Macaca mulatta: one gene and its partners. The protein of the gene in region 2 binds, or shares a complex with, the protein of the main gene of each other region. Links are inferred from orthologs where the notes say so. Each region holds a gene or a part of one and is shown on either strand. Other genes may lie near its edges. The genes, in order: AEBP2, JARID2 and EED.

Evidence for each region.
Region 1: the proteins of JARID2 (region 2) and AEBP2 are in contact, whole or in part, in a cryo-EM structure (PDB 8VNZ), measured with the Homo sapiens proteins. The link is inferred for Macaca mulatta from reciprocal best matches to the Homo sapiens genes JARID2 and AEBP2. Residues at the interface, in NP_004964.2 of Homo sapiens: Ser148, Lys151, Pro152, Lys153, Thr154, Glu155, Asp156, Leu158, Thr159; in NP_001107648.1 of Homo sapiens: Arg407, Ala410, Ile411, Asn414, Leu415, Glu420, Ser421.
Region 3: the proteins of JARID2 (region 2) and EED are in contact, whole or in part, in a cryo-EM structure (PDB 6C23), measured with the Homo sapiens proteins. The link is inferred for Macaca mulatta from reciprocal best matches to the Homo sapiens genes JARID2 and EED. Residues at the interface, in NP_004964.2 of Homo sapiens: Pro109, Gln114, Arg115, Lys116, Phe117; in NP_003788.2 of Homo sapiens: Pro95, Phe97, Tyr148, Arg306, Asn307, Tyr308, Cys324, Asp362, Ile363, Trp364, Tyr365, Arg414, Asp430.

The regions. Positions count from the first base shown.
Region 1 is NC_133416.1:21,905,459-21,909,552, reverse strand, and holds the start of AEBP2 (zinc finger protein AEBP2), read right to left. Parts: upstream 2,843-4,094; 5' UTR 2,633-2,842; coding exon 1,965-2,632; exon of another isoform or gene 1,633-1,964; coding exon of another isoform or gene 1,610-1,632; intron 1-1,609. UniProt on the Homo sapiens protein: Acts as an accessory subunit for the core Polycomb repressive complex 2 (PRC2), which mediates histone H3K27 (H3K27me3) trimethylation on chromatin leading to transcriptional repression of the affected target gene.
Region 2 is NC_133409.1:167,623,684-167,627,333, forward strand, and holds part of JARID2 (protein Jumonji), read right to left. Parts: intron 2,604-3,650; coding exon 1,565-2,603; intron 1-1,564.
Region 3 is NC_133419.1:86,871,682-86,874,245, forward strand, and holds part of EED (polycomb protein EED), read left to right. Parts: intron 1-2,303; coding exon 2,304-2,462; exon of another isoform or gene 2,463-2,564. UniProt on the Homo sapiens protein: Polycomb group (PcG) protein. Component of the PRC2/EED-EZH2 complex, which methylates 'Lys-9' and 'Lys-27' of histone H3, leading to transcriptional repression of the affected target gene.

The DNA of each region.
Region 1 (4,094 bases), on a different chromosome or scaffold from region 2:
CCCGGGTTCAAGCGATTCTCCTGCCTCAGCCTCCCGAGTAGCTGGGACCACAGACGCATGCCACCACTCTCGGATAATTTTTGTATTTTTAACGTAGGTAAGGTTTCACTGTGTTGGCCAGGCTGATCTCAAACTCCCGACTCAGGTGATCCGCCCACCTCGGCCTCCCAAAGTGCCAGGGTTACAGGCGTGAGCCACCGCGCCCGGCCTCCACTTATTTAAGGTGAATTATTCTAACTCTTAAGTGGAAGTAACAGGGGACTTGAGAACCTTTGTTCATATGCAGCCCACCATTTCCATGCTGTATTTACTGTCCTGAGTAAGACACTCAACTTGCTGCTTCATCTGTTAAACCGAAGTCAAAATAATACCTATCTTGCACCAAAGTTGTGGGAAAGAAATGGAAGACATCGAATTTGTACAGTGGTAGGCAAGTATACGTGTATACTGGGTAAATGAAAAACGCTGATTTTATAAACTAATGTCAACTTTCAGATATGTAATGGTACTAGAGGAGAATAAAATGGTAAAAATAGCACATGCTTCATTGTGCAGTTTACATCAATTTTTAATTTTCTTGAAGACATTCTCCTTCCTACTCATGCCTACACAGTTCAACACAATTTTCCTAAGGTTTGTACAGTCTACTTTACCCCAAGATACTTTCTTAACTAGACGTTAATGTCAAACAGAATCTAATGCTAGATTTTCAAAATCTCCAGGACTCTGTCTTACTTGTAGCATTAAATACTAAGGTGTTCGTTTTTAATCAATTAATCGGAATTCCTAGAACTTCAGAATATTAAACTCTTAAATGAAAATCACTACCGACCACTAAATTTTCCATTGCTATACTTTTCTGGGGAGCATGTTTAAAAAAAAAAATCTTACTGATTGTCAAAACATAGGCAGATGGTCAAAATAAATGCTAATACACTTTAGAAGTGGCATAATACGCATGATGTGATTCTCGTTTTTTTAAAAGTACACTAAAAACCAACCCAAACAGACCAAAAGTAATGACAGGACAACTGAAACATATACTATCACACTTTTTAAATGTTCTGAAAAAATGCGCATTTTTGTCACTCTCCAGTTACTTCTAACAAGCTTTAGTCAGAAAAATAATACTCATTCCTTCCGAGACCTCTCCAATATATGACTTTAAATATTATCATGTAAAATCATGACTCTCACATTGAAGCATTACTATAAAGCCGCAAACTACGTTGCACCTTCCAGACTGTATTTTCTTACGATTCCAACTCTCTGATTCCGCAAAGTTATCTTAAAAGGCCATCAATTCACTATTCTTTTCCACAACCATTTATACGTGTTTAAAACTTTTTCCCAGATATGCTCCCAAAACAGAAAAGATTGTTAAAATCACGTTGGAGACCACATGACTGACTACAAATGAAGGATTTGGAAAGCAATGATTTAATACAAAAGAACAATCCTTTTTTGTTTAAGTAGAGAAAAGTGATAGCTGGGGTCTCCCCCCTGGACAAGGAAGTTCTGTTAAATCCAGGCGAGACCAGCCATATTGGAAACACTTGTCAATTATAGTTCTGACAAGTGTTCCCGAACACGGTTGGATGAAGCTAACCTTGAGTACCGACGTGTGTACATCAAGGCCCTCTTCTGCTCCGCCAGAGGATCTGGGCCCGTTTGGGGACTGTTTCCGAGTTAGAGCCGTCCTGAGGTCCGTGAGGAGCGAAGCGCCGAGGGGAAAGAGGGCGGGGAAAGGAGAGTTGGGGGGGAACGGTTTGAGTTGGAAGCCGCGATGCGCTGCGAGAGGGGCGCGGCGGCGGCGGCGAGAGATTTCCGAGTTGAGAGCCTGGGGGAGGGGCCGAGGATTCGGGGAGCAGGGGGATCGCGGCAAAAAGTCGCCTTGGTCCCCCTTTGAGGGGCTCGGGAGTTCAAGAGGAGGAAGGGAAAGGGAAACGCTTCAGAGCACTGACCTGTCCTCCGAGTCCATGCGGCTCAGGGGTTCCCCATCCGACGACATCTCCAAGCTGCCTCGCCGGCCCCCGGAGGTCGCGCTGCTTCCGCCTCCCCCAGTCCCGTAGCCCTCGTCGCCGCCGCTGGAGACGACGCTGCTGCTACTGCTGCCGCCCCCGCCGCCGCCCTGGCTGCCCCGCGGTCCCTTGGGCTCCTCCAGGCCCTCCTTGCCGTCCCCATCCCCGCTGCTGCTGCTGGCGGCGCCGGGGCTCAGCGACCGGGTCTCATCACTGCTGCTCCCGCCGCTGCTGCCCACCAGGCTCTCGGCGCTACTCTCCTCCTCACCCCCGCCGCTGCTGCTGCTCTCATCTTCCTCCTCCTCGTCGTCGTCCTCCTCGTCTTCGTCCTCCCCGGCCTGGCTGGCGCTCTCAGGGCTCGGCTCCGACATCGTCTCCGCCTCGCCGCCCCCCACTCCGCCGCCGCCTCCGCCGCCCCCACCGCTGCCGCCGTTCAGCAGCAGCGCCGCCACCGCCTCTGCCTCTGCCTCCTCTTCCTCCTCCTCCTCTTCCTCCTCCTCCTCGGGGGGCTCAGCCCGGCCCCGCGCCGCCGAACCCGGGCTGCCGGGGGGCAGAGGGCTCAGGCGGGAGAGCTCCTCCAGGTCGGCCATGTCGGTGATAGCGGCGGCCATGGCGGCGCCTGCTCCTCCTCCTCCTCCTCCCTGCCGCCGCCGCCGCCTCCCTCTCTCGACTCTCGCTCTCTCGCCCCCCTCCCAAACGCCCAAAACTCCTCCGACGCCGCTGCAGAGCAGGAGGAGGGCCCGCGAGCTGCGTCAGCCTGCACACGCGCTACGGAGCCCGCGCGGGGACAGGCGCGCGACTACGCGCACTCACACGGAGACGGCTGCGCGCCTGCGCGGCGGCACGAGGCGGCACCTCAGCCGGCTGCGAGTTCTGCGCCCGCGCCCCCGCCCGGAGCCCGCCCCGCTGCCCCGCGCCCGCCCCCGCCCCCGCCCGGCCCCGGCAAGTGCTCAGCGTTTCCTCGGGGCCTTCCCACGCCGTGCTGGGCTTCGAAGCCCAGGGACACGCGGACTGAAAACTCCAACGCTGGCCGGGGATTTTAGCAGCCTTCCGAGTTCTCACGATAAACTCATTCATTCCGGGGGTGTTTGGGGAGTGTCCCCTCTGTACAGGCGCTGAGCCAGGAATAGAACGAGCCTACAGTCTACGAAGAGAGCCGTTTAAAATGGGCAAAAAACACTAGGGTGTAAGGTACTAAATTTATATGCGCAACATAGGGCGACAGGTTTTAATACACCCTATGTTTGAATACCCCTGGGGATGTTGACATCCTGAACCCAGAGCAAACATCTTGGTTCAAGGTCCTCAAACTTTTTAGTTCATGAGCCTTCGAAAACAATTTTGTAAAGCCGTGTATGTTCTTAAACAGTTTAAAATGACAGCTATATTTCTTCCGGCTTATAAATATTTCATCTGTCGCATTTTTTAAAGACTCTATAGCCAATGGATTCTAAATACCGTAGGGATTTAATACCCACTAATATCCATTTTTTAAAAATGCAGTTTGGAAAATACAATTTCCAAACATTGTCTTCTGGAACTCATTGACGTTCCATATCCCTTCTAGAATTTTATCCTAATAATATATTTTATATTTGAACTCTATTTTGGTTGTCTTACCACATTTCCTTGTAATAAAAATGTGTACATAAATTGAAGTATCTGGGTTGTTTTTTACATTTTCTGTGATCATAAAGCTCTTATTTCAACTGATCAAAACACATCTATTTCAAATGTTTGTAAGTACTAAACACAAAAGCAAAATTTTATTGGCAGTGCATCTTGCAGAAATGAACTTGGGTGGACTTTTTTCTAATATACATTATGACCTTCAATGGATGGATTTTTTTGAGAAACAGTTCAGCATCAGTTCTATTCCAAGTTTTCAATTACATGGATGTAAGTATTGAGAAAATTTGTTCGCATAAAAAAGCAGATGAGAATGAATGGAGTTTTGTTATAGTAATGCCACACAATTCTTTGAATGCCTTTCAAATTATATGCCCAAAAATCGCATAAAGATCTAACAAAGAAAAAATACTTTTAATGATCTGTCAGCTGACAACTCTGATT
Region 2 (3,650 bases):
TGGGAGTCAAGGGTAAAGAAAAACCTACTCTAAACAAAAGGGGCTGTCGCTACAATGTCAAGTGTGCTCTCGAGGCTCCATGATCCACCTAGCAGAGTAGGGAAACTCAGAATGTTTCCCTCCTGTCTGCAGGTCTCCAAAAGCAGGAGGACTCAGTGCGGTTCCATCACTGACTCAGTCACCATGTCCCAAGCAGTCACGGGACGTGGTCAGCAGGCGTGGGTGCACGCGTGTGCAAAGTCTGCTCCCTGCACTGCTGCCTGTCACGTGCCATTCCCAACAGCAGAGCACAAACCAACAACTCCTGCAAGTTAAGGTGACTGTTACTCAGGCATCAGCCCTAGCAGGCACCTGCTGAGGGGAACCACTGAACCTCCATCCTGCCTGGAAGCCTATCTTGCTGCCAAATCCCTGACGCTTAAATGATGGCTACATGTCTCCATGCCTTTGAAAATTCAGGATCTCCAAAATGGAGGTGTGGCCTGTTTCCTCCCATGGGTCTAGACTAATGGGGGTTGCAACCTTACCTGGATGCACCTCACTGCACAGAACCCACTTAGCCTTAACAGGGCAGGTTCATTCTCGCCCTGTGTCCCCAGTGCCAGGACTCAAGAGAGGATGACAGGGAAGGAGAGCTACAGGGGAACCCAAGAGGAGTCTCTGCCTGCAGCCCACCCCGAGGAGCAAGGGTCTACATGACAGCCCAAATATGCATTCGCTAAGGATCCACTGTGACAAGTCTGCAACAGCCCCAGCCAGAGCTGCACCTGGTCTCAGAAAAAATGTCAACAGATCCCCTGACCTGTGGCCTTGACAACATCGCCAGAGAAACTGAAGCTCAAGGAAAAACAAAGAAGAAGAAGAGACAAGGCTGAGCAGGATAAAAAATGTCCTGCAGGACCCTAGAGGGCTATGGGCTGCATGGTGCACCCTCCAAATTCATATGTTGAAGCCCTGACCCCCAGTACCTCAGGACATGAATGAATTTGGAGACAGGGTCTTCAAAGGGGTAATTATGTTAGAATGAGGTCAGTAGGATGGGCCCTAATCCAAAGACACAGACACACACAGAGGTAGGACCCTGTGAGGACACAGGGAGAAAACAGCCATCCACAAGCCAAGGAGGAAGGCCCTGGGAGAAACCAACCCTGCCGGCCCCTAGACCTTGGGCTTCCAGCCTCCAGAACTGTGAGGAAGGTCTGTTGTAAGTTCAACAGTCAGTGGCGCTTTGCAGTGGCAGTCTAGCAGAATCCAGAGGGGCAGCGTTCCCCACTGACCCCCTGGCCCCTGCTCTGACTCCAGCAGTTGTGGGTAGAAGTTGACAGCCCAGGGGATGCAAGGGGCCCACCCCAGATCCAAGCTCAATACCATTCTTGTCCTGCCACCAACGCCCAGGACCTGGGAAGAAGGGCTGCAGGGGGAATGAGCTGAGAAGCCCACTACTCCCGAGACAGGGGAGCCGAACTGGAGCTTCTGCAAGGGAAGAGAACGTGAAGACTGTGAGGGAACTGCAGGGATCTGGGGCAGGCAGGGACACTCCCCCCACCCCCTAGCCCAGACCTACCTATGAGCGGGAGCTCGTCCATGGTGATGCCCTGAGATTTGAGGTGCTTCTTGATGCAGGCCAGCCGCTGCACGTTGGGGCCCCAGCGCCGGCCCAGCTTGTGGATGTGCTGAATCTGCGTGACAAACCGCATCTCATCGTTGAGCTTGCACTCGGGCCGCCAGTCTGGAGGGGGGATCACCCTGCACATCCCGAACTTCTCCACCTGAGCGCGGACCGACTCGATGTAGATGAGCGGGTCGTGGAACTCCTTGGCGGAGGGCCTAAGGACGGGGATCTCGTCCATGGCCGCCCACCCGGCCTTGCCGCCGCCCTTCTCGGCCTTGCCCGAGTCCTGCGGCTTGTGCACGGACTCCGGTTGCGAGGTAGAACGATTTTCACAGGAGGCGCCGTCCGCCTTGCCATGTGCTTGTCTGCCTGGCGTGCTCTTCCCGGCTGTGGCCCGCTTCGGCCGATTCCTCTCCAGACTGCGCTCCGGCACTTCCTTCTTCACGTGTCCATTCAGCAGACCTTTCTCGGCCGGGGCCTTCTTACCAGGGCCTTCTGCGGGGCCAGCCGCCCCTTTCATCTTCTTGGGGGGCGACTGTGGCTTCTCCGCCTGGTGTGCCTCTTCCAGTCTCCTCTTGGAGTTCCGCAGCCCCTCCCGCAGCTGCAGGCCCTCCCGCAGCTGCCGCCCCCCAACCTCCTTAGTGCATGACTTTGGGTTCAACCTGCCACTGACCTTGAGGCCATTGACGGCGGGCCCGGTGGACTTGGACGCCCCCCCGAGGGATAGCACCTGTTTGCGGGTTTTTGCATTGCTACTTTCAGTTTTCCCTGAGATTGTGTGGTTGACAGCGGAACTGGGCTTGTGGTGATTGGGTTTGGTGTCCTTGACCAGTTCTCTCTTGGCTTTGGTGTATGTGACAGCCCCCTTCGTCACCGTGGCAGTGTACTTCACAGTTTTGGATGGTGAAGGTCTGACCTCGCGCATCTTTTTGGCACTGGTTGCACCCGCACCCAGAGATGACATTCGAGTGACTCCATTTACCTTAGAAACCTGTGGAGCAGCAGAAGCAGAGGCGGAAAAAAATGCAGAATTAGTACCTGCCACGAAAACGACGGGCCCACCCGTGAGAAAGGGCCCTGGGTGCTGGGGATGAACAGAACACCAGCAGCCTGTTTGTGATAAGAAGAGATGTGGAAATGCCAGCAAAGAGAAGCAAAATACACATCCAAGAATTAAGCAGCGATGTCCACTTTCGGAATCCACTATACACCTATCCTTCTTCACAAAAGTATGCAGCCTGCCCCAAGCACTTCCTAGCCGGGTTTCCTGTGTGTATTTTCACGTTCTCATGGCTCTTCCAGGAAATCTGGTGTTTCACAATGAAGACCTCCCCACGTGCCAGACAATCACCTGTCCTGAGCTTCTAAGAGTTGATGACAGCAAGATCCTGCTTCCTTGGGGGAAGTGGAGACAGACACACACACACATCCCTGTTCCAAGAAAAGTCATGTCTGCTATTTCTGTGCTCCACATAGCAGCACGACCTGCCCACAGGATTTAGAAATCTATGTGGCTAAAAAAAGAAGGAAAACAAAAATACTATGGAAGGAAAAGAACAGCAGTGCCCATGTGGTTTGGCTCCGGGTGGCAGGCCGGGCCCAGAGGTGTGGCTGCAAACTGTCAGCAGCTGCCGTCTGCTTTCCTTGTGGAGACAAGCCCTGGACAGGAACAGGCTGGATGGAAGAGGGATGCCCCGACCTCACTGGTGAGCAACACATGCCAACCCTCATCTGCACACGTGCTTCCTATATTTTCCCAACCTTTACAAACTTTCCCACATATTTTCCCACCCTGGACAAACTTTCCATTGGGTTCTATGGGACCTGGGCAAACAGAGGCAGTCTTACAGCTTGGACGCCACGGTAATCCTGGGACACACAAATGTCACAGAAAATGGGGAGCGACAATGGCAGACACCATAAATGCACAGGCTTCAAACAAGAATGATGAAGGGACCCCAATGGGCTGCTGCCGGACATGCTGGTTTTGAGGAGATGTCTTCTCCGTGTCACGATGTAGCCACTGACCCACCACTTA
Region 3 (2,564 bases), on a different chromosome or scaffold from region 2:
TCAGCTGATACCACTCTAGCTGGGAAGGGCCAGGATGCCTAATTACTGCCCCCCTAGTGGTCTCCATTGACACTGTGGGTAGTTGGTGGCTTTACCAGTGAGTGGCTATGAATGTCCTAACTCGATTAGGCCTCCTCTGATACCAGCCTAGCCCGAGAGGAGGAGGGTCACCCCATTGCTATAAGAGGTATGGGGAGAGTCATGGGATAGGCACTTGGGGTGCTTAGTTACAACCTGAGCATGGGTTTTTCACTGGGCTTTTGCTGGTTCAAGTGGAGATGGGTCCACAGATTTTTCTAGGGTGTTTGGCTGGAGTAGAGCATTGTCATCTGAAAATTTTGTCTTGTTAGGCTGCTACATTTTTTGGTTCCTTGGCTAGAAAGGGTAGGCTTTTGTTGTTGTTGTTTTTGTTGTCTTCACTCATTAGCATTTCTGAGTTGCTGCCTTCTCTCGCATCCAGTCTGGTATACATAAGGCAAAAGAAAACCCAGGAAACTCAACAGTTATCGTTATGTTCCAAGGTTTCTAACTTGCTTGCCTTTTCTCTACCTTTCCAAGTCTTATGTTTGCTTTGTGTATGATACTCAGACTTTTAAGCAGACGGATAGGAAAAAATACATCTGCTCTATTGTTCCAGCAGCAGAAGTAAAAAGCCATTAGGTTTTTTAAATTTCTGCTCTTAGAACTTAGATCTCTGGAAAGGATTTCTGAATTTTAGGTGGTAGGCTGAACTGGAATATATTGGTGGTCTCAAATCTGACTCTGCATTGGAATCACTAGGAGAATGTTAGAAAAATAGATTTCCTAGACCTCACCTTAAGAAATTCTAAATCTGGCACAAGGCCCTGGGAATTGGTAGTTCTAAAAAGCTCTTAGTACATGATTTTGAAGTGCAGCCATCCATTAGCTCTGGCAACATCTTTTTACCTCACTTTGCTTTAGTTGTTCCATCTAGGGACTCCAGTACTTAAAAATTCTTTACCGGTGCAGTTAGTAAGAAGCACTTGAAGAGCTTTTTTATAGTTCTTCTGCTTTGGCCTTTCTCTTAGAGACTGAATCAGTAGGGGCTGAGATGAGTCTTTCGAGAAAACTCCATAGACTATTGATCAAATTTTGCATTTAGCCAAGAGTCATCACACTAGGTGGTTTCTAAGGTCCTTTACAGTTAAAAACTTGAATAACAGATGTCATATAGCACTAGGATTTAAAAAGTCTAAATAAAAAAGGTAGAGAAGAAAAAAGAATGTGTTGTCTCCTCCCTAATCTTCAAGTGGCCATACTATTAAATTATTTAAATGCCTGTGAACCCCACAGGGCTGCCACCTGTGACTATATTATGTAGGCTGTCCAGTAAAATTCTAGGGGCACTGTTCACTTACACGAGGATTTCTGAATCCTGGTGCTATTTAGTTTAGGCCAGATAATTCCTTTTTTGAAGGGGGTTTCCTGTGCATTATAAGATGTTTAGTAGCATCTCTGGCCTCTACTCATTAGAGCACAGACACATTGCCAAATGTCCCTTAGTGGGCAAGCTACTGACCTAGATAGTAATATGAATAGTGCCCACAGTTTTGCAATTTTTTCTCATTGTATTCTTTACTACTTACTGCTTAGGTGTGTGCATACAAATTTGATTTTATAGGATAGGAAAAGTATAAGTTTGAAGCCTATTTCAATCCTGTCCCCATATCAGTGTCTTGATGTTAAACAACTGCTTTACTTGCCTTCAATTGCCCTATTTATAACCTGAGTTCTAAGGCCATTTATGTGAGTTCATCAAATTTCCTAAGATACCTGTTGAGTATCTACTGTGTGGCACAGATACTGGATGAAGGAATAATAGTTAATAAGGTAAAGGAAACCACCTGTGATTAGAATTGAAATGGGAAACTGCAAACTAGTGAAGTAAGCAAGAGCCAGATTAATGCCGGATTATGAAAAGCCATGTATTCTAATTCTGTATGTTTGTAATTATACCTTTGCTATAAAACAAGTCTCTGGGTGTCAGAGTATCTAGAGCTGAACTTGGTTTAACTTGGAAGAGAAATGTTGACTTCCAAAATGAATATTTCAGAAAATGTGATTCTTTTGTATTATCAAATTCTGTTGATAATCAGATTTCTTGTCCTTAAGTATGGGCATTGAGTATAAATATAAATGAATGTACATCACTGTACTTGATAGAAGGATTAACCAGGTTCTAAGAGCTGTGAATTCCAAAACAATAGAAAAGCCTTGTTTTTACTTTATAAGATTCAGTTCCACATTAACATTTCTTTTTCTCATTTCTCTCTCTGTTTTAGTCTTGTGAAAATGCCATTGTGTGCTGGAAACCTGGCAAGATGGAAGATGATATAGATAAAATTAAACCCAGTGAGTCTAATGTGACTATTCTTGGGCGATTTGATTACAGCCAGTGTGACATTTGGTACATGAGGTTTTCTATGGATTTCTGGCAAAAGGTATCAACGTACTTTTACATTTTGAAATGATCTGACTTATGAAAGACCATTGTAATTCTAGCTTTTTCTGTTGTGTCCATGTTCTTTTTCCTTCACAAATCT